Struthio camelus: one gene and its partner. The protein of the gene in region 1 purifies or fractionates together with the protein of each later gene. This does not show direct contact. Links are inferred from orthologs where the notes say so. Each region holds a gene or a part of one and is shown in the gene's direction. Other genes may lie near its edges.

Region 1 (15,974 bases):
TTTTTAGTATTAAATAATAGATTGAAAAATGTCCACCATTAAAACAGTATGGCTTCTTTTAAACAGTTAATCATCTGTAGTGCTATTTGCATTAAAATATTAAGATGAACATTTTCATAGTGGTCTCAGTGATTTTTGTTCCCAAAGGTAAGCCTGGACCTTTCCTTATTCTGAGATCACAACAAGACTCATTTACAAAGTAACACCAAAAGATTTAGCTGAAGTAATCAAGCTGACCCTACTGCTAAGGGATATGATGTATATGAAAAAATTCATGCACTGATTTCACATCTTTAATGGATTCATCTCAACTTCCCTAAAAGTCTCTGCAACAACCAATGACTCTCACCTTTACTGTCATGGTAAAACGCCATTCCAGGAATTAATTAAAACTAAATACAAGGTTAAGCTCATTTTTATGCAACAGTACTATAGATGCTAAAGCCTACTTTCCGTGAGCTTCTAATAGACCAAACTTTAACTATTCATGTCATTGATTCTCTTACACCATTACACTCATTCTCCATTTAACCACAGAAGTTAAAAACATTACCATCAGAAACAAGGAAATACATTTTCATTAGAAGCTTGATGAACAACATTCTCCATGGTGAAGCTCAATTTACCCTGATTTTCAAGCTTAAATTTACAGAAAACAATTAACTGAAGAAACAACTTCCTGGATCAAAAATGAGTGGATCCATTTATTGATGCATTAAAAAGTTTCCCTCAGAAATGAACTCAAGAAGTGAAATAAGATACATAAGACTTTGCAGATTTGCAAAAAGTAGCATTTAGGAAGAATTAGCATTAGAAGTAGCATTTATCAAAGAATTAATTTGTCTTCCTGAAGGGCAGGCCATACTTATATACTGATTGAGCTGAATTTCCAAATACAATCTTCTAGATATTTTGTTCTGACTTTTCTATCACAGTTGACATTAACTTAAAGAGCTGTTACGGTTTTTCTCTCAACTGAAAAAAATTCATGTTGATAGGTTCTCAAAAGTGAAAGAATTTTCAGAAATAGGGAAAACATTCACACATGATAAGGTTTCTCTTCCTACTACTAACACAATTTGGGAATTAAATGAAGCTCTACTGCCCTTTGTAGTTTTATTCTTGTGTTTTTATCTTCAGCTTCATTAACATCTTTCAATACACATTTCGGATAACCTTCAAAGCTTTGACGTATAGAAAATAAAGATTTCAAACAACCTGGACTATTATTTTATTCTGATTTTTCTCACACATACTGCTTTTTCTTCCTACTTTTATTTCTTGTATCTAAAGACTTCAAAGGTTCATAACTGTTGCTGAAGGGGTGAATGCTCTCAAGCAGATGCCATTATTCTCTGTGCTTTTTAGCATTTCTCTCTTGAGGGTTTTTAAACTTTAATCCTCTCTTGACTTCAAGATATAGTTTTAAACCAATAGCACAGACTCCAATCTTAAAATAAAAAAGTAATTAAATATACAGCAACAGGATCAAGCAACAGGCATTACTGTCCTATGTGTGACTGCATGATTTTTATGAACTAAAACAAGCATATGGAAATTAAAAAGTAGGATGCGCATTTATTCAGCATTACACGCCTTATTAGCTTTATAAAAATCAGCAATTAGTTACTTGGATCAAATTTTCACAAGGATTGCTCTGAAAAACAAAATGTGAAGAAGTCCCACATTCACCCACCCAGTCTCACATTTACCACTTTGCTGAGTCCCACTCAGTGTAAAAATACACTACTGGAACATTTCAAGACATTTTTCATAGAATAAAGAGTGAAACATAGGCAACGTTCAGAGGAAGAAGTCAGCTGCAGAGAATAATTTTGGAACAGGGAGAAATAGCTCCCCTACGTTTCTTGACAAACAGGACTAAGGTTATGTGCTGAATATACCTGATTGGAATGTATCTGATATCCATGGGACTACTTGCAAGAAAAAGATTTTCACAGTGTCAAAGACTGTTAACTCTACTTTACAAATAAACAAAAGCCACTCAATTCTTAAATAAGTTAGTAAGTCCTAACGGAAAAAACTACAGTGTAACCTAAAGCACATCAGTCTTGAAGTAATCATTCAGACGCACCAGCAAAACAAAAATGTAATGTAACTAGCTTCATATAATATATGATTTCCCTCATTTCTTGCAGTGTTCAGAGAGATTTCTCAAGGTATTTCTCAAGGTATTAGAAACCAATAGTTTTCATCTATCCTGAAACTAAGGACACAGTTGCTACAGCAACGCTCTCTTTTAGATCAGCTTGCTCTTTGCTTAGTATGACAATATTTACAAATATTTTGCCAGGGCATATTAAACAGTACCGAAATCTAAATGGCATTCTAAAATTAAAAAAAAAAAAAAAGAAATACTTTATTTTCGTTAACTAACTGCTCCTAGTTTAGTTACCGAATCCCAAGATAAACACAGTGGAAGCTTCACAGACATATTCTTTTAGCTTCTCAGTCTTGGAAATGTATTTTGCGTACAAGCACTCACCCTGCTGGTCAGACTACAAAAGACTATCTGATTTCTTTGAAACAGCACTACCCAAAGGTAATCAGTCCTGTCTCAAACCAGAATATTGAAAACAGTTTTTAAATTTTATTTTCACATGTGCTTAAGACTCACTGAGTTTTGGAATGCATCCAGTCCACTCTAATCATAAACACTGAACATTTTAAGTCCAGACTGGAATCACTCATTTCATTGTTGCTTACAATAACATGTCCAACAAAAAAAAAAAAAATCAGACACTGTAGAAAGCAAACTGAGTAACTTAAAATACTCTTTGGAAGCTACACTTGTTACGTGCAAAATCAAAAGCATTCAGGCAGATTCAAACTTCCCAAACAGAAATGCAAAGTCAATCATATCACTGCATGTTTGGTACAACTTGTATTTTGAAATGCCTCTAGGTTAGGACTTCCTGTGGTAAACTGTGGTTTTCATACCACTAACGTTCAAGTCTATATCTGAGAGGCAGGGAAGAGGAAAATGTCAGTGGATGAATGTGTGCAGTAGATACAGGGACAGGGTCATAGTTTGAGGAGGCAAAAACATGCAGTACGAGGACAAAGTGCAGGCACAACAGGGGAAGGACATCTTTTTGATGTCTTTGGGAAGTTGTGCCCAAGAAGTCAGAAACTGCTGCTGCTACAATTGATCGTACTGGCATCCAAATCCATCATAAATTACAAAGCCTAAACAAAATAAGATAGGAAAGCCTGGTATTAGACAGTTATGAATACACAAAGTATCTTCTTTCAAACTTGGAATGAGACTCTTTCTATTCTTGTGAGAGTCGAGTAGATCCTGTTTGGATAGGAAGAAATTTACATTTCAGTTTACAATTTACATATAAAGTTTGTAAACTAGTGATTGGGGAGGTAATTCACGAATGGATCAACATCTCTGCCCTGAAGTTGAACTGGTCAGAGGAATGGTATGGGGCTGGAAAGAGCAAAAGCAGTAGCTGTCCTATTTTAATACAACTACAGCAGTTTGCTCTACTTTATGCGGTTTGTAGCAAATCTTAAGTATTTGAGAAGCAACATCTACAGATGTGATAAAATTGGCTTTCTTCTCTAGTACTGAAGAATGGCACCTGATTCAACAGACAACATTAGAAAATACATCAAATCATATACTGTATAAATTCCTCATCAGAATACCTTTATTTCTTCTGCTGAAGACCTGGACTTAGGCTGTCCCTGAACTTGAAAGAAGCCATGACAGGTTGGTTTGAGCTAGGTGCTACTATACCCTGCCTCTTATTACCTTCAGTGCTGTACCAACATTACCAATACAGCCTCCACAAAGTAGAACATTAACTGTATTTGATAATAATGGGGGGGGGGGGGAAATCAGATAATACGATACAGACTGAAAAATAAAATCCACATTTTCTGAATATCTATTATCTACACGCAGCAAAAAACTGTAACATATGATATGCAGCGAAATTCAAATGAAGGAAAAATATGTTATAATTTTTGGAATTACAGAAAATACACTCCGCATTTAAAATATTTAAATACTACAGATGGAAATCAAAGAATCATAACATGGTATCATTCTGACAAACTACCTAAGGGGGTAGTTACTGTGTGGGTTGTTTTTTTATTTCTTTTGTTTCTACAAAAGGCATTTCTAGAAGCTTTTGACTTATAACTGTGAATTTTAACTTTTTCTTTAAACGGTACATTATCTAACTGAAAAGTATTTCAGTGAGAAAAGAAGTCCTTCTCTCTTTGCTTAACACAATACACAGTGTCAAGAAAAGAGAATGAGTTTTTCCAACTCTAACTAGATTCTCATTATCCTCCTTGAGTTTATGTTACAGAAACTTTTTAAATTAATTTATTATTTAATTAATTACATTTATATACAAGTTCTGTAACCAGTTTTTTACTCTTTCAGATCACTTAAGGTCACAAATAGATCAACAGAAAGCACTTTTCATAATGCAACAGTTATCTCTTATGGACCGAAGAGATACAGCACCAAATCAATCGCTGAATTCTGAATAAATACTTACTTGAACCAGGTAGCAGCGGAGTGGGCAGAAACACTCCTGGTTCAAAGAAATCAAAATACATCCTGGTCCAAGAAAAAACACAGCACAAGAATTCTGCCAACGAGGCTACAACAAGCACACTACAAAATCTTTTGGAAGAAGCAAAGAGAATTTGACATACGTATTTTAATACTAATTCAAAGGCACCGTCATACAGCACAGCTCCACAATGCAACATAAATGGTCCGTTTTCCCAGAACAAAGTAGCAATCCTAGTTGCTCACTCTGCCTGGTAAGCCCAAGAAACAACCTACCAGAAAAAAACCCAGTAGCATTCCCCTCTATCCTTCCCTCCAGTTACAGCACAGCCAGCCACCTGGACTGAACAAAACTGAAGAAACCTCCAGCAGAGAATATGGCAGGAGAACTTTGGACAGGAACATCTTAAACCAGAAATAAATAATATCTTACTATAATACTTCATATATCAGTAAGCTAATTATTAGCAGGACAATTTTTTCTCCACCAGAATGTCATGCTGGTGAATTGACAAATATGATTAGATTCATTTTAGCATTCAAAACTATCAGACATAAACATATATGTTCCCTTTTTTTCTTCTCTCCTCCCCAGCTTACCTACTTTTTTTTTTACACAACGCAGTTACTACCACAACAGCAAAGGTCAGCATTAGCCCCTTCCACTACTTGAACAAAACAACAACAAAAAAAAAAACTTGGTAATACCATTTTAAGAGCCTTCAGCTGTTCTAGCAGCCTACATGGACAACTCAAATCAACAGGGCTGGAGTCTCCTGAGAACACTTACCAGTAGCTTACTAATCAAGCTGTCTGGTGAATACATCAGTGCAATAGCAGATAAAGAGAACTGTCCACATACACTTCAGAGTTTCATAACGAGAACACTGCAAACAGCAGTATCGTAGCTGGTTCTGTCCAAACAAACTGTTGAATCGTTGCAAGATTTTTCAAAGAGATAATGGACAGGTTCATTTTTAGCAAAACACTCAATCACTTCCATTGTCTCTAGCATATTGTATGCATATCTAAATTTATCAACGTAAGTTTTGAGCACGATAAAGTGGTGGCTTTTTATAATGAATTCCTGTAATTTTCATGAAAGTGCTCCAGAACCCTCACTCACTACCTTCACTGAGAGTGCAGCATGAGTTCAACCTGCCCTAGATAACAGAGGATTCACCCAGGAACTTATTCTTGAAACACAAGTATTAACAAAACTAGATGTTACTGGTTCTCTTTTCTTGATTGAAGTCAATAGGACATTAATATACCAGAGCTTCCTCTGTCAAAAGCCAAGACGGTTTCCTGTCTTTTGATAGCAACAATGGCAACAGCTGCTTCAGCCGGATAACAGTCCAATCAGCCCCACAGCAGAAGCAGCGTGCCTTCCCGTGTGGCTGTCCCCACCGGCATACCTTAATGCTCTGACTACATTTTTAAAGAGAATACTAGTTATGAATAATTAAGCCAGATTTTCAATGCTTTCCTGATAAAGGGGGGAGCCTTTTATTCATCACTGAATTATACTGAAAACGTAGGTGAACAGTATTGGTAATTTCATCCCCAAGATCCAGGATTTCAGATAGTGATGATTCCTTCATGGGATGAATATCACATAATGTCTTTTGCTGAGCAGTGTGCGCTTGCAATTGGATATGAGCCACGCACCACAGGGCTTCACATATACCTCACCAGCACCCTGTTTATGCAGAATCCTGGCTAGGAAAGTATAAACTGGAGAATTTGCAAGATATAAGCAGTTTTCGAAAACAATCACTTCAAATTTACCAAGTAGTTAACTGAAGTAGAATTGACTAAAACATAGAATTACATATTTGATTATATACTCAAGCCAGAGAATCAAGTCTTAAATCATAACAGTATGACATGGCAAGCCATTAGGCAAAGATTCTAATCTTAAAAATACATCTAGGCTGTTCAGTATGCTAAAAATCAAATTTTAACTCCTCGACCACAAGCTGCCCTGTTTCATCACAGGGTGACAGCCGTACAAAACTTCAACACATTAAAAAAAGTATTAAAGCAAAAGTGTTATGTTACAAAAGAAAAACTCAATCTTTCCGCATTATTATTCTTGCTTTTTAATTTCTCCTCGGTCATAGTAAAAGTTAATGTCAATCTTAGCAAATCTTGGCTTTTCTCACCAAATTCCAAGTTCCATCACAGTTATCTCACTATAATAGGACGATCCTGCTGTTAGGTCACGTGGATATTAACTTTGTAAGATCACATCTTCCACAAATCCTGCTGATCATCACACGGAAGTTAAGACTGCTGTTAAACAGACTTATTCTGCGTCAGGATTAGGACACCTGTGGCAGATGCTCCCCCACTGAAAAGCTACCACACTCATTTGTGGAGTCAAAAAAATAAAACAAAACACCGTATTACACCTCAAGGGCCATACTTGCGATTTATTTCAAGAAACTCCAAAAAAGCAAGACAAAGGAAAGTTGTGTTCACCCACATTTACACATTACAGACACTGGGAACCTGAACATTAAGTTGGTACTGCCTTTAAATATATAAAATAGATTAAAAGACAGTGTTTAGACATACTACCACAATTTCTATCTAGATGCAGTTAACTCCTTCCTCCACATCAAAAAGCCTTCAGTAGAAATATATACTCTTAGAAAAATCTATTACTATTGCATGCAAAAAAAACAGAGGTTCATATGGATTTAAAATATTATTAAAGCCAATGGTTACAATTTACACTTAACTTCGGTTATATTTATAGTGAGTTTTAACCCTGAATCAATTCCAGCTCTCCTCCCCTGGCTTTCTTTTTCCTCATCTCTTCTGGCACTGAATCTGGCCACAGGTTATTGAAGAGGCAGACAGAAGAGGATAACTTATGCCGCAGGACTTAATTAGTAAGCACAAGCCGGTCTGAAATAGGAGCAAGGGTACAAGACGGATGACAAGGGGTGGGAAAAGTGAAATCGATGCCTACCACAGTCTGTTGGTTGGAACGAAGTCCTACCAAACCCCGTTTATAGTATCTAAACCAAAAAATAAGCTTTTTTTATGAAGATATTTTTGAAAAGTTGCTATTCCTAAAACGTGGATTAAGCGCGGCACAGAGCACGTGGAAGGATTTGGCGTTATTACACCTCGGCCTTTGGGGCCTCTCGGGCCGCACGCGAGGCAGCCGAACAGGGCTCCGAAGGGGGACAAAGCCTCCACAGCTCTGGAGGAAGGTGGAAGACCTGAAGCGTTTTCAGCCCTTTCACCGCCTCGGGCGCTATTTCCGACGGCAGCGGTACCGCCCGCTGCCACCCCGAGGTCAGCGGGGCGAGGCGGAAGGCCCCTTCGGGCAAGGAGGAGGGGCACGCAGGCGGCAGCAGCCGTACCCAGGCAGGGCCCAGCTGCCACCCAGCTCCGCTCTCCGCCTGCCCCGACCGCAAACCTGAGGGAAACGCAAGCACGCAGCGTTAGTTGAACGGCAGAGAGCAGCGGAGGCCGCTTCCCGGGCTGGGCCCGGCTCGGCCCGCGGGGCGGCGGTGGCACCGGCCCCGGGCAGCGCCGCGGCCATGTCGGCGCCGCGGGCGGGCGAGGGCGCGAAGCGCGGGCCGATCCCCCTCAGGCGGCGGCTACCACCGCGCACGAGACGCGGGGGGAGACAAGCGGCCCCGCCCTCCCGCAGCACTCACAGCGCACACCGCGCGCGCGGGACGTACCACCGCAGCGCAGGGGGGGACGCAGCGAAGTTGGGCCTGCCGGCCGGCACGTACCACCCGCCGCAACGCGCGGGGTGGAGCAGCCGACACTTTCCGGCTTCTCCAAGCAGGCGGCGAGGAGAGCGGCAAGCGCGCATCCCCCCCTCCTCCTCCTCCTCCCCCTCCTCCGGCGGATGTGGCGCCGGCCGCCCCGCCCCCTCGCCCACGTGACCCTTTCCCAGCGTCCCCTCCGCCGTCCCCCCGCGCGAGCTCCGTGGCTCGGCGGCTCGCGCGCCCCCCCGCCCGGCCCGGCCTGGCCCGCCGCCGCCGCGGCCTGCTCCCGCTCCCGCCCGGAGGCTCTTCTGCTCGCCGCCGCCCGCCCGCCTAGGCGAGGCCTCGCCGCGCCGCCGTTCTCTCTTCGGCTCTTCCTCCCCCACCCCGGCGCGGGGCCTCTCTCCATCCGCTCGGTCCTCGCCGCCTGCGGCCGGCGGTCGCTAACGGCTCCGGGCGCCGACGCCGGGAGAGGCAGAGAAGAGGCTCGTCGCGGCCGGGATGTCAGGTGGGGACTCGGCGGCGGCGGCGGCGGCGGCCTCCCCTCAGCCGCTCCCGTTCTCCTTGCCGAAGCCCCCTCCCCTCATGCAGCTGACGCCGGGGGACGCCGTCCGCCCCGTCGCCGCCACCGCGGACCAATCGCCGAAGAGCACCCGGCTGGCGGGCCGCCCGGATTGGCCAGCGGGGAAGCCAGTCAGCCTGCTGGCGCCGCTGCTCCCGCCCCGCGGGGAGCCCGAGCCGCTCATGCCCTTTGGCCCCTCGTCGCGGCAGCCACTCAGAGGGCGGCTTCTTGGCAGGTGCAGCGGGGGTAGCCTGCTCAGCCCCTCGATGCGGCCCGGCGGCGTCGACCGGGGCTCCCTCATGGTGAGTGCGGGCGGCGGCGCTTCCGGGGGGGGGCGGCCGGGGCCGGGCCGGGGGCCCTTGGTTGTGCGAGCGGGGCGCGCTGGCAGCGCCCGGGGCTGGGCACAGCACCTGCGACGCAGCCTGAAACCGCGAAGGAAGCGGGAGTGGGCCGGGGCCGCCCCCCCCCCCCCCCCCGAGAGCCCTGTGCTGCGCTGGTCAGCAGAGGAGAGCTGGGGCGCGTTAAATGGCATTTGGTTGGCAGGTCCCTCGGGAAGGTTTAAAAACGCCTGTATGTATAGCGGTCTTCAGAGGGCGCGAGAAGGATTTGAGGAAGCGTTGTACTTCTGGTTCTTTGGAGAGCATCTGAGACTTAGTAAATCAGTTAGGATTATGTCCCCCATGACGTTCAAGGCGTGTATACGCGTGTGTATATATAGGTAAACTCTTTAAGTTTCAAACCTGTTCAGTTTGTGGCTTTTCAGTAATCGCAGAAGGGTTGAGGTTGGCAGGAACCTCTGCAGATCATCTAGTCCAACCCCCCTGCTCAAGCACGGTCACTGAGAGCACGTTGCACAGGATCGCATCCAGACAGTTTCTGAATGTTTCCAGGGAAGGAGAGTCCATAACTTCTCTGGGCGGTCTGCCCCAACCTCACAGGCTATTAATAGGCATGCCTTTGGGTACCCCCCAAAAATTTCAATGGAAGATTGTTTTTAAAGCATGAAAAAAGGTATTACTTGCTTTTTTTTCCTGCTCAGTATCCTTCTCAAAAAAGTACATTTTGTTTAAAAGTAACTTTCACATTGAGCTAATAGATATGAAAGACACAAGTAAGATGCAGAGCTGAATTATTTGTCTTTCAAAATAAAGTGCCTTTGAGCCTTTATCCTAAGGCACTCTTAAAGCTGATGCTTCTGACTGGAATAGAAGGCTTTTACTACGTTCTGGTAACTAACAAGTCTCCGAATATGAAATAAGATGTCTTCTATGTTTTTGTGTGTTTACAGAACAGACTTTTGACGTATGCTAGCTTTTTTAATCCTCTTACTGTGACTATACCAAGTATAAGGACAACCACAGGATTCAGATTTTTAGGAAAATACAGAGACAGAGTTTGTAGTCAGCGTAGAAGCTACTTCAGCCTTAGACATGAGAGAAGCAAAAGATAGGCTGGTCATCTGATTGACTTCTCTGCTCCAGGGGTACTTGTGTTAATCATAGTTGTATAGAAGAGCATGCAGAAATAGTTGCACACACAAATTTAGTATGTGATTCTATGACAAATTATAACATGAAAGATGGATATTTTCTTTTTTTATTTGGCTATTGTTTTTGAATTTTTAAATATATTTGTTAATTCTGATGATCTCCAGCTCTACAGATCCCAGAAGAGTATTCTTCTACAGTATGCTTAACATCAGAATTGATTTGTAAGCATTTTAATATAATTGTCTTGCTCGCTGTCTTGCAGTGTTAAGCTAAAATTGACTACCTCATTTCCAGTGGCGCGTCAAGTGTGTCTTTATTCTTAATGTTTTGTGTTTTGGGGGGCAGGGAGTTGTTGGCTTTGTGCTAATTTTTTTGTTTGTTGATGTCTTTCAGATGGGCCACCCAGGCATGCCACATTATCCGCCCATGGGAATGCACCCCATGGGTCAAAGACCACCTAATATGCCACCAGTTCCGCATGGTATGATGCCTCAGATGATGCCTCCGATGGGAGGACCACCAATGGGGCAGGTAAGGCAGTTTTACTGGATTTTTTTCTTTCTTTCTTTCTTTCTTCCTGTAATGAGGCCAGATAATTCCTGAGGTAGGTAAGTCTCATATAGTAGCTTGCAAATGATAACGTGAACAATTCAGGTTGTTTTATGCAGCCATGCCTATCCATGCAGAAACTCTTCTCATTTTAGTGGATAATGAAAGTGCTTCCTAGTTTTGGAACTTTAATTTTAAATTGTCATATATGTGAATCCATAGTTTATTTTTAATAAACCTTTTAGACAGTTTCCCATAGGTTTTGAAGAAGTAAGGTTGTCCTATTAAAAAGTACTAGAAACAGAAAGTAGCGATTCTTTTCGGAAGTGGTAATGGTAGAGAACTTTTTCTCTCTTTAGTTCTTGGCTAACTCTTACATCCAAGCATGGAAGACAATTGTAGGGAGACGCAGGGAAGAAACAAGATCTGAATTTTTGCAGAATTGCTTCTTGCATCCTAGGGAGCATTTATAGTTCTGTATAATATACTAGTGGTGCTAGTGTAATGCACAGTTTGAAAAACAAACTTAGCTATTCAGAGCACATTTGAAAGTGAATTGACAGGAGGAGTAGCCAGGCTCATATCCATGCTTTTGCAAATTTGAAGTTTTAATTTTAAACAAGGAAAGGTCCTTTTCCATGTAGTTTCTCATTAAATTTTGAATTTCTGAAAGAAGCAATTCTCTTCCTGGATAGAAAAAATCCTCCACTGATACTAGTAAGGTAGTGGTTTGCCGAAGTAGAGGTGGAGTGACAGTGACCGCACCAGAGGGATAGATTAGAGCAGACTAGTCAGAGGATAGCACGAAAGACTGAACCTTTGAGAAGCGCCCACAAGTGCGTAGCTGGCAACTCATTTTCTTCCTTTGCAGTACCTTGGATAGAGCATGTGTAATTTAAGTTTTAAAGCTAGTGTATTCAGACTTGATAGGAGCCTCCAGCGTGGTTTTGCAGTCTGTTAGATCTTCTGCTCTAAGAATAATGCAATTTAAAAAGATAAGGAGGAGTCAACCATTATCATGACAGCTAATCATGTGAGCTTTTGTGTATGTGTATTAAATATGTCCAGCAATTCTATTTTATTCCTCTGCTTAACAATTTTTTTTCTAGTTTTTAATTCTATTGATCTTATTCTCATGTAATGAATATTTCAGTCTTAATATTTTAGGGAACAATATAAATAGAGAACTTAAACATTTTTGGTAGATACAGAATGAAAAGCTAGATACGTGGCATGGCAAGAGGAGATTAGAGGCTCAGTGTCCCTGTGGCCATAAGGAGAGGACAAGAGGCTGATACTTTCAGCGCAGTAGTAGTTCCAGTGCAAGAGCATCGGCCGGTGTTGCCTTGTTTGCTTGGATGCTAAGCTTTTTCTTGCAGCAGATACCAGAGATTTATTTGTGACACTTAGCAGAGATGGGCTATTCCTGTAGCTTGTTTACCTCCTTGCTGAGGTGAACCTCTATAGACAAGAAACTCCTTTACACAGGACCTTAAGCAAGAGTAACGGCCTACTGTCAGCATCGTTCAGAGGAAGGTCTCACGAAAGAGAATTGTGTCTCTTCCCATGTTTTTTTCTTTGTGGACTTTGGGTCAGTGTTCCTTGGCAACCCGGAGAAGTACATGGAGTTTCTTCAGGACCTGGGTCAGGACTTTTAAAAAGTTTCACACTCAGAGCCCCCTTTAGTTGCAAGTAGCAGTGGGGCAAGAGTGCTTTCTTCTCCTGCTTCTACAGGATGGCAAGGAGTAGGAGGGGCCGCCTTCCAGTCTTTCCTTTCTTCCTCACCCTCCCAAGAAAACCTTGTGGATTGAGGGTGGAGCGGTAGCCCTACCAAATATCCCTCTCTCCGCACAAGATGCCAGATGAGGAGAGTGGTAACCTGATGCTCCCTGAAGATACAGGGGGATGGGGTCACTTGGCCAGCCTGCCAAGGACAGTAAAAGGTAAAGGGGGATAACTGAAAGGTTGAAGGGGGTTGACTTCTCAAGACCTACTTGGGCTGAGTGGGCAAGAAATCATATTGGTAGTGACCTAAACTATGTTTTGTTGATTTTTGCCCCCTTTTTTTTTTTTATGGCTCACCAGTTCTTAAAAGCCAGGATCAGCAAAAATTATGGGAGATGCACAAAATATTACAACCTTTTCAGTAACGTTTTAAACAGCTTTTCAGTGCATCAGTTTTTCTTTCCAGTGGGTAACTCCTGTGTATAATGTGTTGCAGTAACCATCCCTTTAAGAGTAGAAGCATAAATATTTGAGCAAAAGCTAGCTAGTCGAAGTAGCAGTTTTGTGGGGTTTTTGTCTCATCAGACCACACAACAAACTCTGCTATAAGTCTAGACTCAGACTTTTCATTTTGTATGCTCTGGTATGTCCCTGTTACCAAATTCATGTTGTTTTAAGAGAAGTCGCATGGTTTAATACTGCATATCTGCATTAATGTTTTTTTTGATACATTGTAAAAAACTGTTCAGAAGCGATTTAGAGCTTTGATATTTAAGTACGATAGCTGTCTTCATCATGAAAATGTTTGCAGAAACTCACTCTTCTAGTATCCCTGTAAAATGTTGCTTCCTATTTGCAGAGGTGAGAGGAAGGGGAGACAGGCTGAGAGTTGCCAAAAGTTGCAAACAAAACTAATCATAGACTCAGAGTTTACCTTTTCTTTGTTTAATAGCTTCTGTGTGACCTTGGAATTCTGCAGAAGTCTTTCCCACAGCCTTTAATTTTCCTGTTTTAACATAAGATTTCAATTTCAATAAGAGCGTATAAACAGATCGCTCGTCGTTTGTCATTGTTCTTTTGTAATTAAGTGGTTGTCTTTACTAATATTTCATATCAGACCTTGGAATATACTATAGCCTTATTATTCCTAATGTCCACTCTGTAGGAGTGTAATGAAAGGAAGCAGAATTCTACAACTTTAACTGTGTGTTGCCAAGCGCTTAGAAGGTTTATTTGGGTTAGAAACTAGCACTGTGTGATTATTTTGAAACCAAAATATTAGATGTTAAAAGTATCATAAAGTATAAGTATATTTGAAATACTGTTTAATTATAGATGCCTGGAATGATGCAGTCAGTAATGCCTGGAATGATGATGTCTCACATGTCCCAAGCTGCTATGCAGCCTACGGTTCCGGTGAGTTTAACTTTTCTGTGTTTTAAAATTCCTTCATTTCAGTTGCTTTCATTATTTCAGTATGGGTATGTCTCTGTTTTCTTGAATTGAGTTGTGAAAAAGGTCTTGTTAATTGAAGTTTTATCAAGCTTTTCAGTTCTTGTAAAATGATAAAGAGTTTGCTGAAACAGTTTTTTAAATTATTCTACTAAATAAGTTGTGTGTGACTGGACATACTGTATTAATCAGTCCACCCACCCCTGTGGTCTCTTAAGACCGTTAGCCAATTTCAGCCACGGTTGTGAGAGAAAGATCACAAGCGTGCTAAGCTTCTACAAGATAGGTAGAGAAGATACTGTTGAGGAAAAGGATGTAATGTCACTTTGACATGCACTAGATGATGGAGATTTCATACCAGACGATATTAATTACCTTAAAAGTGGGGAAGAGTCTTTAGTTTAATGTTTGGGCAGACACTAGAGAATCTGCCTGTTAAGTATGTTTCCCTCTGCTGTCCTCTGTTGTCTAATGGGACATGAATGTATGTTACAGCCTTAGTGTAATTTAAATGAAGTTCAGTAATTCCTGAGGCAAATTCATGGGAACCATGCTTCATTAGTTCTTGTGCTCACGGTACTACTTACTGATGCACTAAATGTTTTAATAGCTGCCTAGTAGGAAGAACGTTAGTGATTTCCCTTGTCTACCATACTGAAATCAGCATGAAGTTCTGCCAAGTGATACTCATGGCAAATTTTGAAAGAATTTCAGACCTTGGGAGAAAAACCTTTAAAATGCTATGCCCAAAAGTGATTTTTAAAAGGGGCAAGGTAATCAGTGTTAACTCAAACTAATTCTGAATATTTGTTGTATATTTTTACATAATTTTGGAGAGAAGGTAGATCTCTTGATTTCCAGATCTGTCTTGGGAGTAAACTGTGATTGAATCAGGTGTGCGCGTATATGGTATTTAGGAGGCAAAGTAGCACAGTAGAGGTTTCCAACCTTTAATTTCACCCTTGCCCCTCTTGGTAGCGATAACTGGAGATGATACTTGTGTGTGTGGTATCAGAAGGCATTTATCTGTCATGGCAGCATTCTTTCACCTCCCTGCTATGGAAGGTGTACCACAACCTGCAAAGTGTTTTAGGAATGAAAAAGTTTTTTGCCCTTTTCTAATCTAAAATAATTTGTAGGTGAATAAAAAATTGTGAGCTTTGTAGCCCTCGTGGTTCGCTCAAGAGACTTCATCAGACTTCTAGCTATCTGATCGTTTTCATAGCTAGCTGATGAAAAATACACTGTCTTCTCCAAGTGTAAAATGTGATCTAAAACTTGCAGAGACCAGTTGGATTATTTATATTGATGTCAGTGCTCTTTGGTCTTTGCTGTTTTTCACGTGAGTATGTTGATCGTTCAGAACACTGTTTATGAGATTCATTATCTGTTTTGTGATTTATGTTAACAGTGTTTGCTTCCAAAAACTGATTTAGAACTAACGTAGTTCCTCGAAAGGATGACTTCAGTCAGACAAGTGCTCTTACAATGCACAACAAACTAGCAGGGAATTTGAAGAAGTAAACATAGGCACAAGAACGGAAACATTAGAAGGATTATTTATGAGCACAGGCATATGCGCATACGCACAGAATAAGCTTTAGGGTCTTAAATTTCGTGGTGATTCATCCTGCTTAATGCTGTTGGATTGATTTGAGGTGATATGGTTTCTTTTATTTTCAGCAGGTTTTTAGTTTATTGTTACGTGAGCAGTTTTTGTTAACAAAGTTCATAGAGAACTGAAAGATAAATCTTAGTGGATGATAAAGCTGTAAGCTGTATTTTTGTCTGAAGAAAAATGTTAGGAAAACTCTATTTGAATTATGTTGATCTTTTTCCTTTGTTTGAAATGTTATCAGAAGGAGCGTCTGTAAGACCTTTAGTTACTCACA
Region 2 (16,346 bases), on another chromosome or scaffold:
CATTGCATGCATCTCAGTACAGTCAATTCTTTCACCAGCTCCACTTACCAAGCTTCTTAGAGGAGGCTCTTGCCACACATAAGGTTTTGACCTTTTGATGATCTCATGAGCAAGGCCATTCCTAGGCACCAGGGTCTTTTTGGCCCAAGATATTCATTCAGTGCCAGGAACAGACTATCCTCAATTTGTTACTGTTGCTGTCTGTTACACTATTAGTTTAGTCTAACAGACTATTATGAGGTGTGATTAACACAGAAGCTAGGGATATCTTGCCCATTCAAATAAACCACAGTAGTTCTTACCTGAATCTCCTCAGTTTCATCCACTAAGAGGAAACTGACAACTTTCTCTGTCATTTTCCTTCTCCTGGTCTCCTCATCCATTTCCTCCTCCTCCTGCTCTTGGGCTTTGCCAGCATGGTACACAGTGATGGGATGCTTCCTTTTGTTCCCCCCAGCATGTGTTCTCTTCTGACACTCCACACAGAGGTTGATTTTGCACACCTGGCACCTCACTGCTGCTCTCTGCCTAGATCCTGTCATACTGGTGTGCATTATGTTCCCATTGGCACCTTTGCAGGAGTCACAGTAAGGAACATGGCCAGGTCTTATACGGGTCCGTTCATGGTTCCGTAACCTTTCCTGCTGATGCAGCTCTTCTTCACACCGCTGACACTGTAGGCTCCCGCATTCGTCACACTCAAAGATTGCTTCATCTGTCCCACTGCAAACGTAGCTTTCCTGGCACAGGAGTGTTGTGTTCTGTCCTTTCTCTGCAGTTTGTGTGTGGGCGCTCATCTTCAGATTTCTTTAACGTTTTTCCTCCCTGTTTGGGTTTTTGAACAACGATATGTGTATAAGTCAGCTGAAAATTTAGTATTTTCACAGGGGAAAAGAAATACAGAAGGAATTCTGTCACCACCCAATTCTGAAGAATTAATACATGTTTCTGTAAGATTCATACACTGACTGGCCTTCCAGAAAGAGTCTAATGTTAAGTGCAGACAAAGTTTCCTTACTCCAAAATAAACAATGTGGCTGTTTTCATCTATTGATGTACCCAAATGCTGGAAAACATTCTTTCTCTGCTTAGCTAGATAATGTATTTTCAGTGATGTGGGGGGAAAAAAATAAAAATCAGTGTGGTGTACTTCAGCAGATTGGTGCAAATGTTTCTCTAAAGCAGAGAGTGGTAGGAGATTAATTGGTAATACAGAGGAAAAAAAGACATCAGAAATGCACAAGTGCATATGGAGGTACACACACGGGATTGTGTCAATACTAGAAAATTCTCTGCTTTCAATCTACAGCTAAGCTCCTCCTTCAGAGTTCACAGTATTTATTTGCAGGGACTTTCCTGATGTACTTTGCCAGATAAACAAAATTAGATATCTTTGTATGCTCCTCCTAGTATTGCTGAACAGCATTCATTACCACAGCCACACTGACATAAGATGGATTTTTCTGTCAGATACAACTTGCCAAAATAGGCCTCCGAAACAAGTGACTGCTCCAAGTATGCTGCACACCAAGCAGTCTTTGTCTCGACATGCTCCTTTGCAGTTGTGCAGGGGCCCTGCGCCCTACCTTCCCCACATCAACCCACAGCCCACTCACCTCCCTCCTTTCAAACACACAAGCCCACAGAGCTACTTTCATTTCGGCTGACTCTTGGCGGGGGGGGGGGGGGGGGAAGGGGAGGTCTCCTTCCAGAATAAGCCATTTTTCCACCTTGCAGGGAGCAATTGCTTATTTCAAGCTGCTGGTGCTGGGCAGCTAGCCGGGTGCGCTAGCTGCCCCCAGGCACCGCTTACACTTGTGGCTCGGTCATTTCTGATACCACGAACCAAACAAACATGACGGGCAGGTACTTTTTTCAGCAATTCTGCGTTAGTTACATAACGCCGCTAGGAGCTGGGGGCTCGCTTGCGCGCCGTGCACCTACCTCGGGCTAAGCCGAGCGCGGCTCCTCGTTATCCCGAGCAGCAGCTGAGCAGAAAGGGGGGAAGCGCCGGGTTTCTCCCGCTAAGCAGCGGCAGCGGGCGGGGAGCCGTGGCGGGGGCTGGGACGCGCCGCGCCGGGGAACAAAGGCGGCCCCAAACGGGGCGCCGCGAGCCGCGCTATTGTTTACAACCCAGCGGCCACCTTTCTTCCCCTTCCTCCCGCCGGTACCCGGTGACTAAGGAGTCGGGTCCCAGCCGCTTCTTCCTCCTCCTCCTCCTCCTCCCCTGCGCAGCCGGGGAGGGGGGGCGCCCCGCTTCTCCTCCCCCAGGGGCCGTGGCGGCGCGCCCCGACCATGCAGGCGAGGCGCCCCGGCAGGGCAGGACCCGCGCCGCCGCCGCCGCCCTCCTCCCGCGCCCCTTGTTGTCAGCCGGGATCAGCTGACCGCGGGCAACTTCGGCGTTATTTCCCCCCCCACACCCCTCCGCGGAGACGGGAAGGCGGCAGCGGCGGCGGGGCGGGGGCGGAGCGGCCCGGGCACGCCGGGAACTGTAGTCCGCCGGCCCGGCGCGGCCGCACGGAGGGCCGCCGCGGGGCCCCGCCATGGCGCCTGCTGGGACGCGTAGTTCCCACGGCCGTTGGGCGGGTCGGCGGGGCCGGGCGCGTTGTTGCTGGGGCGACGGTAGCGGCGGGTGACCGGACCGGAGGGCGCTGTGTGTGACGGGCGGCCGTTTTATACGGGCTGGGGCCGCGGCGCGCGCCGCTAACGGCTGGTGGCGGCGCGCGGCTGGGGGTGGGGGAGGGGACGCTCAGGCGCCGGCCCCGCTGACTAAAGGGGCAGCGCCAGGGCTTTGGGGGGGGGGGGGTGGTTCTGGGGGACACAGCGGTTTGGGGGCTTTTTGCTGTCTTCCGAATTTTTTTTTTTTTACTTTGTTTTGTTTTTGTCTTCTGCCCCGAGGCTCGCGGGTTCTCGGTGGTGCTGGGAGCACGGGAGGCCTCTGGCTGGGGGTGGGGGGGTGGGCAGGCTGGCTGCCCTTTGCAGGAGTCCCAGAGGAGAGGGAGTAGCCCCCAGTTGCTCTCTGAGGGATGAAATTCATAGAGAATCTCTCTCTTTCTTACGTTTCTTGGAGTGCAGCCTGTATTTTTTTGTCCACTGTTATTCCCAGGCCTTGAGGTCTTGCAAGTAAGTAGGTCACATTGCCCTTCTGAGGGCATGCTGAGACACTAAACTTGTATATACTAGCCAGTCACTTGAAGGAAGCCCTGCCAAGCAGTGCCACCGTTCATTATTATATCCCCCTTTTTTCTTTTTTTGTAGAGGTAGTTAATGTGTGACCCGCCACTGTTTATTTAGTGGAAAGGCCACAGATCTGAAACAGGTGACTGCCAAAGAACAGGTGACTGAACTGTCCTTCAGTCAGAAACCGAAACTGTGGAAGTGGAAGATGGCTGTTGCAGACTACTTGGGGAGAGGGGGAAGCATGCAGAGACGACCCAAGAACTCACAAAAAGAGGAAATAATCTGAACCAGTGAGCTCTTGGCTCACTTTGGTAACGGTAGGGTGCTACTACAAAAGGACAAGTCATTTTTAATTGCATGTGTGTTTAAGGAAGCAGGATGTGATTTATATAATATACAAAAATATTTTTGTAGTAGTATAACCCACAGTTTGTCTTCTAGAATACCTGGAGCTTTTGGCCAGACGGTAGGCTCTTAACAGTATCATTACCTCACTGCAGGAAGGAGATGTGCTGTTTCACTTCAGTGAAGTTTACACGTTGGTATCCATAGAAAGGCAGCTTTAAAGTGCTCTGCAAATTCGTCCTCTTGGTTTGGTTCTATACCAATAATTTCAAGAGAGGACCAGCTTACATAATTGGTTATCTGTATAGATTGCAACGATACCTAGTTTACTTTCTCTAAGGTGAAGTAACATCACTTCAGAAAACTGCGTCAGCAGGCCCAATTACCACAGAAATGAGGCATCAGCTAAGTTTCAGAAACTGTGTGTGACCAAGGCCGTGTCTGAATTCAAGTGTATGCTTGAAGTACTTTTGATTCTACTAGATTCTGTGCTTGCAGAACATAAGTTTTGCCTGTATCGAGGAGGGAAAATGTTTTAACTAGGTTAGGCGTGGTGTACAGATCCACATGCGGTCTGAGTGAAATTGAAATGTGGTAAGCATTGACGTATGTTTTTGTATCTAGGCATAAATATGGTTCATCCATTTCTATGCAGTTTAATGATGATGAATGACTGAAGGGTGGCAAAGTAATTCTCTTCCCTATTCTGTTTCATACGATTATGATAAGGCATTTTAATTCATTTTTTTGCAGAAAAGATTAATCAAAAAGATTAATCAAAAGATTAATCAAATAGACTGAAATCTATAAATATGAATCTTTCCTGAGCCAAATGTTTTCAGAGTGAATAACTTCTTTATAGTGCATATATTCCTTACACAGGAGGTAGAAGCTTTTAAATCTCACAAGATTATTCATAGGGAGCCAAGGAAGCAAATCAATGAGTTTGGCTTCTAAGAGATATTCCTCTAAGTGGCTGTATTTAAGCAGGTAATGTGATAGGGGGAAAAAAAAGTATGGGGAAGACAACACAACGTAATTATTCATTTTGTGGAATTATTGACAAAAGTACAATGAAAAGCTACTTTTATTTAAAATATTGTATCCTATAAAAAGTACATAGTAGTGCTAGTTACTAAGCTAATTATTTCTTTCTGGATAATGCTTAAACTTTCTGCCCCTACTGTTTCCTGCCTCTCTCTTAGAAAGATAAAAGCGCAGCACTGGTCCTCCTGGAATAGGAAGTGTATGTATCTCTGTGCTTGGGTCCAAGTTGTGTTCTGTCACAGTCAGGTTTTAGGCCATCCTTTAAATACATGACAGTGAAATGGAGCAGCTAAGCGTGCTCTTGAAAAAGTCCTTCACCCTCACTTCAGATCTCTGAGCAGCAGCTCTCCTATATTCCTTCCTCCAGTAGATCTGAGAAGTGAAAAAATGTGGATCCTCCTGTGAAGACCTGATGTATTCCCTCCATTTCCCCCTTGATTGTTTTCACAATATGTTCCAAAATGCTGTAGAAAACAGATGTGTTCAGTTTTTTTTATCCTCTTCCTATGAATGTCCTTGTTCACAACTTGTGTACTTAGAGCATTTAAATGTAGCATTTAAATCTCTCTGACTTTTAAATTTATATGCTGTTAATAATCATCAGTTTGATTTTAAGACAAAAATTACTTCCAGCTGCTTCTTGTACAATCAATAAAATGAATTTTATTGATTTCCATGGAAATAACATAGGATGTGCCAGGGCGAGAGAAACCTTCATTGGATAGCACAGGTAAGTGGTATGTATCCAGGATCCTGATGATTGGTGACAGTTTTAAAAGACCGTGCTCCTACACCAGCACTTTATCGCTGTAGTGGTACTTTTTGCTCAGTTACTTTGGAGCTGTGGACTAGAGTTCAGTTCCTGGCATAAAACATTTAAAATGTTATGCTGCATAGAAGCAATCTGAAGTTTGCACCCTGAGATGCTGCCTAGCATGTTTGGAATGGTTTGTCACAGTTGAAATGCAAAACAGTCTGCAGACACTAAGTGCCTGTTCTCATTTTTGGCCTTTTGTAAAGGCTATGTACTGTAGTCTTGATTGGCTTCAGCATCAAACTCTGAAGCCTACAGCGAGTAGCTGAATAAAGTGAACTGTGATCAGTAGCTGGAAAGTGGGATCTCAGTTTCACAATTAAAGAGTAAAAATATACCTATCCGTAAACCTATCCATCTGTTAATTATAAAATTGAATAGCAGAAAGAGCAGAGATGTGAAAGTAACAGTTTTTACTGGATTCTTGTGATGCAGTTTCTTCCTTGGTTAGAAAGGATACTGAAAGCTAAAGTGTATGGTTTGTATAAGGAGAGTAAATGCAAAATGGTTTGTTTCTTTGGCTAAATAAAAAAGATGAACATCTAGATCAAGAACACCTTTGTGATTTTTCCCGTAAATAAAAAGGTTTGTTAAAGCAATACGAGTGAGATTGGATTTCACATTCTTTTTCAAGTAGATAATAGTTTCAATTTAGGACCATAGCATAGAAACATGAAACTTGGAGGATTCTTAGTGTGTCCTTTCTACTTTCCTTGGTTTTCCTGCAAACTGCAAAATGAGAACTATATTTACCTAAATAGTATAAATACTTATCAATTGCTTGAAAGATTAATAGCAGTCAGAGGCTGTATGGAATGAGTTGTAATTAATGGGAAACAAAGATGTTGTTTCTAAAAGTGGAAGAAATTGCTTTCAGTCTTGAAATATTTCCTTTAACTACTACTACTCAAATGTGCACATAAACATCTTGCACATAAACATCTTGCAAAGCAAGGTGATGAACAGAACCTTACTTTCAACTCGCTTTTTAAGTGTTCAGTAGTCCATCCAGTGAACTGTGTCTCATATTCAAGTAGTCAACAGTGTCAGCTTTGAATGTGTTTCTTGTCTTTACAGGTGGTGGTACTTGTGGAGAGGATTGTTTGTCATTACCTTTGGTCTTTGACCATTTTTCTTTAATGCAGCATGCATAAACAGTGGAAAATGTAGTACAGAAATAACAAGCATTTTTCCCTAGCCGATCTAAAATGTTTTGAACAGCTTTGTTGACACATACTCGTGTTGTGCTCTGCTTCGTAATGGTCTGCAAGACTGTCTTCATTCCATTCGCAATCACTTCCTCTTTCCATTTGCAATTGCTTGCCATCATTGTGGTGAACAGAGCAATTACTTTCCTGTAAGTAATGCTGGGGAGACTTGCACATTTTTAAGTGTCTTTCAATGCAGTCTAGCTGCTGGAAGTAAGTGAGGGAAACTACCATTTGTAGACCACTGCTAGGACCACAAAAGAGTATATAGATGTCTTTTGGCTGAGGGTTTGCTTGCCTTGGACGCTGGTGTTTGCTGTGATCCATAAATCCTTACAGAGTGTCTAGCTGAGATGCAGCCTTCCACATGGCAAATACACATCTACTGATAATAGGATTGCTTATTAGCTTTCTAGGCCCTTAAAATCTGCTAAACCATAACGGAGCTAAAGCACGTGTTCCCTCCTCCTTAGCCTCCTGTTACAAGCGAGGGGAGCAGGCAGGTTTCCCGCACGCCGATGTCCCGCGGGGGCAGCCGGCGCACGCTGCTGTCGCGGCTCCAGCGGCAGCCCAGGAACGGCCCAGCGGCCGGGGCCGGCGGCGGGCGGCGCCCCAGCGGCCGGGGAAGACCGGCGCGGCGGGCAGCCGTCGCCCCCCGGGGCCCGCAGCCAGCGGCGCCAGGAAGCCGCCGGCAGCAGCGCTCGACCTCAAGATGGCGCGCCCCGGGGCCGGGCCGGGGAGTCGCACCACCTGCCCCCAGCAAACATGGCGGCGGCCCCAACGCCTTTTTTCTCTCTTTCTACCCTTCTAGCCACGGCACTCTATGGTCCTGCGCGTTATGTCTGGGTGAGGAGCGAGAGGGCGCTCTGGCTCGCGCGCCTCTATGGTCGCGCGGCGCGGGGCAGGTCGGGCCGCTGACGGAAGGGGTGGTTCACATGACCCCAGCGCAGCGCGGCGGCTCTGGCTCGGCGCGGTGTGTTCGCGGCCTAGCGGCGCCCCGAGGCCTCCCAGCGCGGCGAGAGGCGGCGGCGCCCCCGTTCCCCAGCCCCATCCCCGGCCTGCGCGTGTAGGAGGGGCCGAGGCGGCGCTCCGGACGCGGCTCCTACCCCTCAGCGAAGGAGGGTGAGCAGCGGAGGGCTGCAGGGGGAAGGGAGACGGAGGGAGGGACGGCGGCGGCGCTGAGAGGAGGCGCCGCGCCGCGCCGGGCCGGGCCGGGCCGAACCGGGCCAGCGCCGCTCCGCCGCGCGCTCCCCACCCTCGGGGCGGCGGGAGGCGTCCGTGCCCGTCGCCGGGCCGGGCCTGGGCCTAGGCCGCGGCGGGGAGGCGGCGCGGGGGTGGGAAGGCAGCGCGGCCTCGGGGAGGCGCTGGCGGGCGGGCGGCGGGGGGGCCTTCCGCTTCCTGCCCCGGCCCGGGCGGCGCGGCAGGCCCTGCCCGCTGCCGGGGCCGCGGCGGGGAGCAGCCCGCCGCCGGCGGGCCGGGGCGGGGGGGCGCCCGTGGCCGAGCGTTTGTCGGCCCCCGAGACTGCCCCAGGGCCCGGGGCTGGCCGCCACCGAGGGCTGGGGGGCTTCGGCTTCTTGGTGCCGGCGACGCCGGTCGAGTGAGGAAACGTTCTTCGGTGGTATCGTGATGTCCTCCGTCTGGCCCGGGGGAGGCCTCTTGAAACATGCGTTAGGAGCTTGTGCTTAAACAATCGGAGGGATTCACCCCTGTCTGTAACAGTTGTGTTGTGTGCATTAGCATATTTTGCTCATGATGCGTTCTACTGTAGAAAAGACCTTTGCCTGCCTGAAGGAGAAGGGGTTTGGTTTAAATATACATCAATAAATATCCTGAACACAATTTTCTTTTTGATAGCGAGGCTTACACGTGAGGAAATCTTATAATTGGGTAGTCTTCCCTCTATTTTGATCAAAATGCGTATGCCCAAATTTTTAGTTATTTTGTGGGTCGGGAAAGAATTGGTACCAGTACACTGCATCTGCATTTACAGAAGGCAGTCCAAAACAGAGTTATAGAAGCAAGCACAGACCAGTTTCTTGGTTTGTTATGAGGTGGTTGTCTTAGCCCTTCACGTTTCTTCTACCTCTCTCTCTTGAGTGCCCGTTCTCGCAGGTGTCGTGATGCCACGGCTGTGTTTGTGTTTCAAGAAGAATGAATGAGCAGCAAGGTTAGGGTGGAGAATCACTTCATTAGCACTTTACATGGGCACAAAATTAGGAGCAAAAGTGAAGTTTTTAATATTCTGGTGTCATGTTTGGTAGAGCGCCAGATAAGGCATTTTCAAAAGGACACATCTGTTTGTTTCAGTAAGCATGCAGTGTTCTTAGACACTTCAAAATAATAGTTTGGGAGGCAACTTACTTGATGGCAGTTAGCAAACACTTCTGGACCATCTCTGACAAGTGTAAGCAAATGCTAATTTTGTTTGATCGGAAGTAAGTGTGCTTCAAGTCTGTATATCTGTTTTATCTCCGTATGTGGCTTTTGTGTTTGGCACTGATGCCTTGTGTAACTTGCAGGCGAATTTAATGAAAGCTGTAGAGTTGTATGAGAAGGTGTTGGAGAGCCTTCACTGAGAGGATCAGCTGGCCTGAAGGAAAAAAAAAGACTTTTCCTCAGGGTGCTATTTTCTTCTGTGAGAAGTGTCATTTGTTTATATCAATAATACAAGGAGTATCTCTTTTGACAAACTGTAGGTTTAGTTATTTTATATGGCTTTAATGGCTTTAAAAATGGCTTACAAATCCATAGACCTTGTAGAGAGTGATGTAAAAGCCCGCATAATAGCATTAACAGGCTTATTTATCACATACACTTTCTCCAGTGGTTTCTTAAAATGTTTTTGGTGCTCAGCTGGACGTTTTGTTATGGTGCAAAATGTATAAATTGCTTCAGCGTAACTTAGAAAGAATTATTGTTCACTCTGGGATGCTGCATAGATACAGACATTAGAACCAAATGCCAAAAGCTTGTAAGATTCATAATAAAAATGAGTCTTATTCTCAAAAAGCATTAAAACATTTATATACATTGGAGCTTTTCTGTGGACGCTTGTGAACACAGTGAAACGTGGGCAGTCAAATCAAATGCGTGTGTATTTTTCTTTAACCTGTGTGATATTATATAGCGTAGTGTACAAACCTAAAATAGTCATGGATTCCAGATTTTGTCATGGACTGTTGTAATAATTCAGAGGTTAGGATTACAGTCAAAGCTGTTTTTTTAGTTAATTTAAAAAAATCAAAAAATGGTTTGCACTGACTGTTCCCTTATTTAAAGCTCTAGCTGTTCATCTATTTTACGCTTATTCTAGAATAAGTGTACAGATTTTTGCCATGCTGAAGGATAGAATTAGAAAAATGTTGACGATAAGTTAAAATCAGACTTAAACTGTAATCAAACTAGATTAGCCACAATGTGTCACTTACGACACCTTGTGTGTTTATTCTTAAAACACCTCAAGCTCATTTAGGCTTGCAAGATTACCATGGTTAATTTTAACCTTGTTTAGTGCAACTGCAGCTCAATAGTAAGTATTGTAACTGCCTGTTTCATATTTTGTAACCATTTTCAGAATAGTTAACTGCCATATGTTTTGCAAGGGTCTGCTAAAAAGGCGGGGGGGAGGTTTGTAGAAACAGTTATAGATACTAGTTAGTCTAATCACCTGACGCTGGTAGAAGTAACATGGCTGCTGTGAGTAGGTGATACAATTGCCAGTTTGAAATATATTACTTAACAGTGATATTTAACTAATAAACTTGCATTCTGTTTTTGTCACTTCATTTAAAAAAAAAAAAGGGGGGGGAGCAAATCAAAAATAGGTTAAAAGGCTATTGCAATTTTTTAAAAATTACATTAACAGTGCAGTAGGGCCAGTACAAGCTTCTCATATGGTCACCCCCTTTTGGGGGCCAGAGATAATATAGAAGCATGGGATAGCAATATGTGAATGACTGTAACCATCATTTCTTATACAGTGAATTTTATACAGTCTCACACGCTTCAGTCCAGCCTGCCCTCAGGCTAGCCCTGTGAGCTCGTGTGGCTCTGTTAGAGTTAGCTTACTTTTAATACTCAGTGCTCAGGTCCAGTAGGGATAGCATTGAGTCAGAATTAATAAGTCTCAGTGGACCTTACCTAACTTTACGGCCATATGGGTATTTCTCTACTCTCCCAAGCTTCAGAAGATTGGTGCAGCTGGCTCTGCATGCAGTTTGGTTCCACCAGGGGCTATTAACTCAGAAAAGCAGTGTGTGAAGCAACTGAATTCCTTCTGGGCCCAAGTTGAACGTGGACTATTATAGTTGCTTTTGAACGTGGACTATTGTAGTCGCTTTTGTGTCACACTTGCCTTAGCTAATAACTCAAGTTGGATTTGAGCTGATTCTGCTTAGAGTAATCTTAGATATTTTGCCACCTGCATTTGTTAATCTGCAGCTCAGAAAAGCTGCCCAAGGGTAGTGAAGTGTGCACCTGTATTAGTGTGTTAGCTCAGATTGGGAGCATGCTTTTGAAGCAAGTCTCCCAGTCAGCCCCACTTAGCCAGCTTTTATTCACATTGGTTTGCACTGTTACAATGGATGAATTGAATATACTGAAATATCCACCCTTAACTGTTAAAGGGCAGTTGGTGCACTGGACTAGAGCAAGCCTGAAATAAAAACCTCCCCAAAAGATGTAGTGTGGACATTGGGGTCTCAGCTCTGTCTGTTTTGCTAGAAAGACCTGTTCCTGTTGTGCTTCCCTGCTTGCTGATGTAGACGTGGCCTAAATTGACTATGCTTTGAGTCAGAATCCTGACATAAATCCATCATTGTGAGTGGTATAGGTGTCATATTATTTCAGTATTTGGAATGGTGTTATGCTAGATGCTGAGTGTTTTTCTTACAGTTGTATTTTTCTAACTACTTTAAAGATTCACAAAAATGAATCTGTCCTTTAAAGTGCTGCTATTTAAGCAGCATTCTTGATAGCCGCATCTTACATCTAACTTTGAAATAATACTTTGATAAGTCAAATGCGTTTTTAAAATATGTCAGGATTGTTTAGTTGCTTACTTGCACACTTGAATATTTTGGGGAAATCTGAAGATCAGCACGTACACTACTGAGACCACAAAAATGTATTGGAGACTGAGCACTGAACTGTACTAGTAGAGGGGTAGGACAGTCTGCAGAGAAGTTCACAGTAGGGTTTCTGAGATATCTACAAGGGTATTCTCCCTGGACCCAGCTTAGCATCTCTTAACTTCCCATACTGAAGCCTTAGTTTATAGTTGCTTTATAAATTTGAGATGCTCTGGCAGCTCTGACTGCTGGAAGAGTATGTACTTTTCTTGCATCTTCTCTAATTGCTGACAGAAAAATTGTGCTACTCGCTTTCCTTCCTTGCATTTTCCTTCCTCTTGGCCACTGCAGGAAAGCGCATGCATCTTTCTCACTGTCTGATTTGTATCCTTTGCTTCTCTAGTGAACAATTTCAGTCTGGATACCTGTTGCTGCTCTGTTTTTATAGCAGAAGTAGGGTTAAACTCTCATATTTGCCAGTTTCATGTTAGTAGTTACACATAGTAGCAAGAAAGAGACTAAGCCTTTCTTTAATTTAAGTGTTGATGGTCTTCAGTGCCAGAGCAGCTTTCTAGCTGTTGTGAAAATAGCCTTACAAATGTGGAAAAAATTAGAATATAGTGCTTCAAGTTGACTTGTTGAAGGTAGCAGTACAGGTAGCAGTACATTTCACATATTTCTGACTAGAAAATTGAAAGACTTTTTCATTTGATCTGTTTGATCTGTTACTATCTACCTTTGTCCTTTTAGGGAGTAACAATTCCTTTATTGAGTGCTAAACTTTTGCTTTTGATCTCAATTAAAAAAAGATATATCTAAAAACAATTCGCCTGCGTGTATATATAACATCCATTAAGTTGGGCATTTTTCAGCATTTTTTTCATTGAAGAAGCTTTTTACCTCTTGCTCCCTACACTCACACACAGTCCAAAATGGTGTCTCAGTTGAAGTGTTTGTCACAGCAAGAGAACCAGCTGCACCTACAGGCAGCCTGGAGAATTACTTCCAAACTGTTGATTGTTTTACAGATCACTTTTTAATGCCTTGTGGACCTCATATGTGTAACACTGCTGTAGCCTACTGGAATCACTCAAGCCCAATAGTTTATTGCCCTATCCTCCTGTTCCAAAGCTCCATTGAATTTTGTCCAGTTGTCCTGGACAGTGCCTGCAGTGTAGATAAGGACTGAGAGCTGCTTAAAGGAATAAGATCTGTATTTTCCCTTTTTTAAGGCACTTGGTTGTTTTCTTTGTGAAAAAATGTAAAGTAGTAATACCAAGGTGGTATCCTACCCAGGCTTCACATTCTAGAGGAAGATCAGCTAATATGCACATAGTCTGAGAAGAAATATGAGCAGTAGTATGTACATAACAATAACCATCTGATTAGCAAATTATAAAATATTCTTTACTGTCCGTGTTAGCATATCAGGCCTCAGCTCATTAGCTATTGCACAAGTTGAGCTAGGAGACACAGGAACTGGGAAGTTAAAAATAGATCAGAGAGCCCTCCTCCAAGCTTGTAACTGTCTCTGGGCTGGAATTTGGGAATTGCTGCAGCGTCTTTCCTATTAAATACAATTCCCATTGATGTTTAGCATCAGGATGTTCCACTTTCTTCTCTCATTATTTCGTTCCACAGCTATTTTGTGAGCGATCACAGAATGGCCAAGGTTGGAAGGGACCTGTGGAGATCATCTAGTCCAAACCCCCTGCTCAAGCAGGGTCATCTAAAGGATTGTTTCTTGTACAAGAGAACTGCTTGGCTTACTGAAAAATGTATTCCAAGATTACTTCCGTTCTCAGATACGGAGGAAAAAAGCTTTATCTTCGTAAAAATTCATTGACTACAAACTTTTTAATTCACTTTCTTTGTGAAACATTGGTATGAGAGGTCAGTTATAGTTCTAGTTTTTTGTTCATTCTGAAACACTTTGCCAGAAGTGCTATTTTTCATTGTGAATGAAGATATCTACTACATCTGTAACAATGCTCAGCTGGGGAAAGAGGAGCTAAAGTAGTTTCAGTTTGTAGTTGAATGTCCATTTAAATATTTAAAATCGTTGCAGGTGCTTATCAGTTACGCTGCTTTTGTAATTCATGTTTGGGAAATGACTAATGCAACGTTTCCTTTTTCTGCCTTTTTGATAGGTTGCAACTCCAGGAATGTCTTTTCCACCTCATTTGAATCGCCCTCCTATGGGCATCCCAACACTTCCCCCTGGGATTCCACCTCCACAGTTTCCTGGTTTTCCTCCACCTGTGCCTCCTGGTGAGTTATGTTAGTGTATGGAGCCGTTGTAGAAAGAAATTACCTTTTGTTATTCTAAACTGTGTTATTAACAAAAGTTACTCAGTCTTAATGTATTGCAATAACGCTAATTCATGTACGTTATAAATGACTTTCTAGTTTTCCCATAGAACACCTGTCATGTGAGCAAGCTCCTTTAGCCTACCCTATGTTGCTTACATGTAACCAGAAATGAAAACCACTAGAGACAATATGTCACTATGTGTCTGCCCTTTCTTTCAAAACTGAAGCTAGATAGTAATTTTTGCTAATGTTTGTTATTCTAAGTATCACTGCTTTGACAGCAAACTGATTTTTCAGTTCCTTTCAAAGAGGCCATTATAGTCTTTGCAAACACTTGGTACACTGAGCGTTTGTGGTATGAAAACACGGGAGCAACTTTCAGAGAGTCTTCGACTTCAGTAGTTACTAGCTGAGTACAGTCAATCTTACATATTTAAATGTGAATTAAAAACATGTAAACAAATTTTTGTTTGTTGTTGCTCTTTGTCTCGTGTTAGATACTTCCTGCAAGGCACGCAACAGTTTTAGGATCCTTTAAATACCATGAAACATGATAAATGTGGGGGAATGAGTTAACCCCATAATGGAGCGTTCTGTTGAAGCTTGTGGGTTCTATATTCAGTTTTCAGTCTTATTGTGGCATAAATTTTTTAAATCTGTCTGGAGGCTCAACAGATATCTCGATCTTCATAAGGAACAAACAGGTTCTCTAATATGAAAAGTTTGGCATGTAGTTGGGTTTAATAGGGCGGTCAAACATGGATAAAATCTTAAAAGAAGCAAAATATACTCTGCAAAACATGTTCCTCCCTCAAGAGTTCTACCTGAATGTTATTACAGTTTTATATATTAGTGGGGCCTGGAGACAATACAGCTACTGTCCTTTTGCTTCATGTGAAATACCTGTATCCTTTTCCATTGTGTAGCACATCACATCCTGTGAATTCCATCTTCTGCTGCTTATGTATGGATTAGTAGTGTTTATTGAAAACTTACTATTGCCTGGATTCCAGAAGCCAATTTAGTCTAAAAAGCTAAACCACTTCAAAATTCTGTATTTTTATTTCTTCCCTTCTATTTCTCTCGTTGCTTTTTAAATGACTTTTCTCCACTCGAATCTCACGTTTTTCTTTTGTTCTATTCTTTCCATACTCTACACGTCTTGCGAACTTACTATTACATTGCTTATTCCTTCTACTCTTCCCAGAACTAATGCTGCCTTCTTACTTCCTGTGTTCTTCAGTAAGATCAGCCTTTGTTTTTGTGTTGAGACTTTAATTTATCTTTCTGCAACCACCTTTCTGTACATTGCCAGTATAGATAAGAGTGACTAGAGGCAGGAGACCGCAAAGGGAGTGGGAGAGATGAATTACTGAGAAGAATTACCCCTATAAAATTCATCAGACTATAAGAAAAATAGTAGAAATAACTAGAATAACTAGCAGAAAATAACTACTGGCTACATGGTCTTGAGCTATCTTGTGCACAAGTGTTTCATAGACAATAAAGGCTTTCAAAAATCAGATGGCTGAACTCAGGAATGGTTTGTGCACATCCATGCATCAGGCTAATCTTTACATCCCTGCTTGTGGATGGTTTTCTTTTTGAGATCTGTGAGATGTTATTTATTTTCTGCTGTAGATACAGTTCTTGATTGGTGGCAGAATGTTACCTAAAACCTTCAGGTTAAATTTTAAAACTATATCTCTTATCTTTACTAGCTCTAGTTTAGGTAGACTAGTGTGAAAAATATTGGATGCTTTTTAAAATGTTATCTTTCTCTTACAGATTAAAAAATATTTTAAGATCTCTAATATGAGTTTCTGCTCTGGACATGTGTCTGTTAACATGTGCAATAAAGATCTTTTTGTGTTTTTTTTTTTCTCTATTTAACTTATTTTTATAAAAATATTGTATTAGTAATCCAAGCAGAATATAAATTGGAGGAGCCTGGGGTTAGGAGATAATTTTATTCTCTGTACCCTGGCAGCATGATTTGCTTACCTAATACAGGTTTACATATGCAGATAACATCTTTTGCTAGCTAGAGGATATGGATCTCTCATTTCTCTACACAGGTTTAAGAAGCCATAATGACTTTAAAACTCTACTCTGAAGTTATTTGATGCTTTTCTGTGTATAAGATAACAGTTTTAGTGGTTTATAATAAGTAGCTGTTTGGAATGTTCTGTTCTGGTTGTCCTACTTAGCCTATAACTTTTGGAAAAAGTTCTGCTTGAAAACTTCACCTGCTTAAGAATGAAAAGTGTTTTGTTTTGCTTAAAACATATTTTTAGAGCTGTTACAAATAAGAAATTGTTCTAACTTTTCCATATTCTAGCATGGAAGACTTGAAATTTGACATGGAGG

The links.
Region 2: the proteins of PRPF40A (region 1) and RBM25 purify together in Homo sapiens (affinity purification with mass spectrometry; 5 studies listed by BioGRID and IntAct, with this or other methods). This does not show direct contact. The link is inferred for Struthio camelus from reciprocal best matches to the Homo sapiens genes PRPF40A and RBM25.

The regions. Positions count from the first base shown.
Region 1 is NC_090947.1:44,930,030-44,946,003, reverse strand, and holds the start of PRPF40A (pre-mRNA-processing factor 40 homolog A), read left to right. Parts: upstream 1-8,505; 5' UTR 8,506-8,805; coding exon 8,806-9,168; intron 9,169-10,749; coding exon 10,750-10,887; intron 10,888-13,965; coding exon 13,966-14,046; intron 14,047-15,974.
Region 2 is NC_090946.1:43,479,225-43,495,570, reverse strand, and holds the start of RBM25 (RNA-binding protein 25), read left to right. Parts: upstream 1-7,485; 5' UTR 7,486-7,716; intron 7,717-13,813; 5' UTR 13,814-13,828; coding exon 13,829-13,934; intron 13,935-16,346. Other genes in the region: ZFYVE1 (zinc finger FYVE domain-containing protein 1), read right to left, coding at 303-797. UniProt on the Homo sapiens protein: RNA-binding protein that acts as a regulator of alternative pre-mRNA splicing. Involved in apoptotic cell death through the regulation of the apoptotic factor BCL2L1 isoform expression.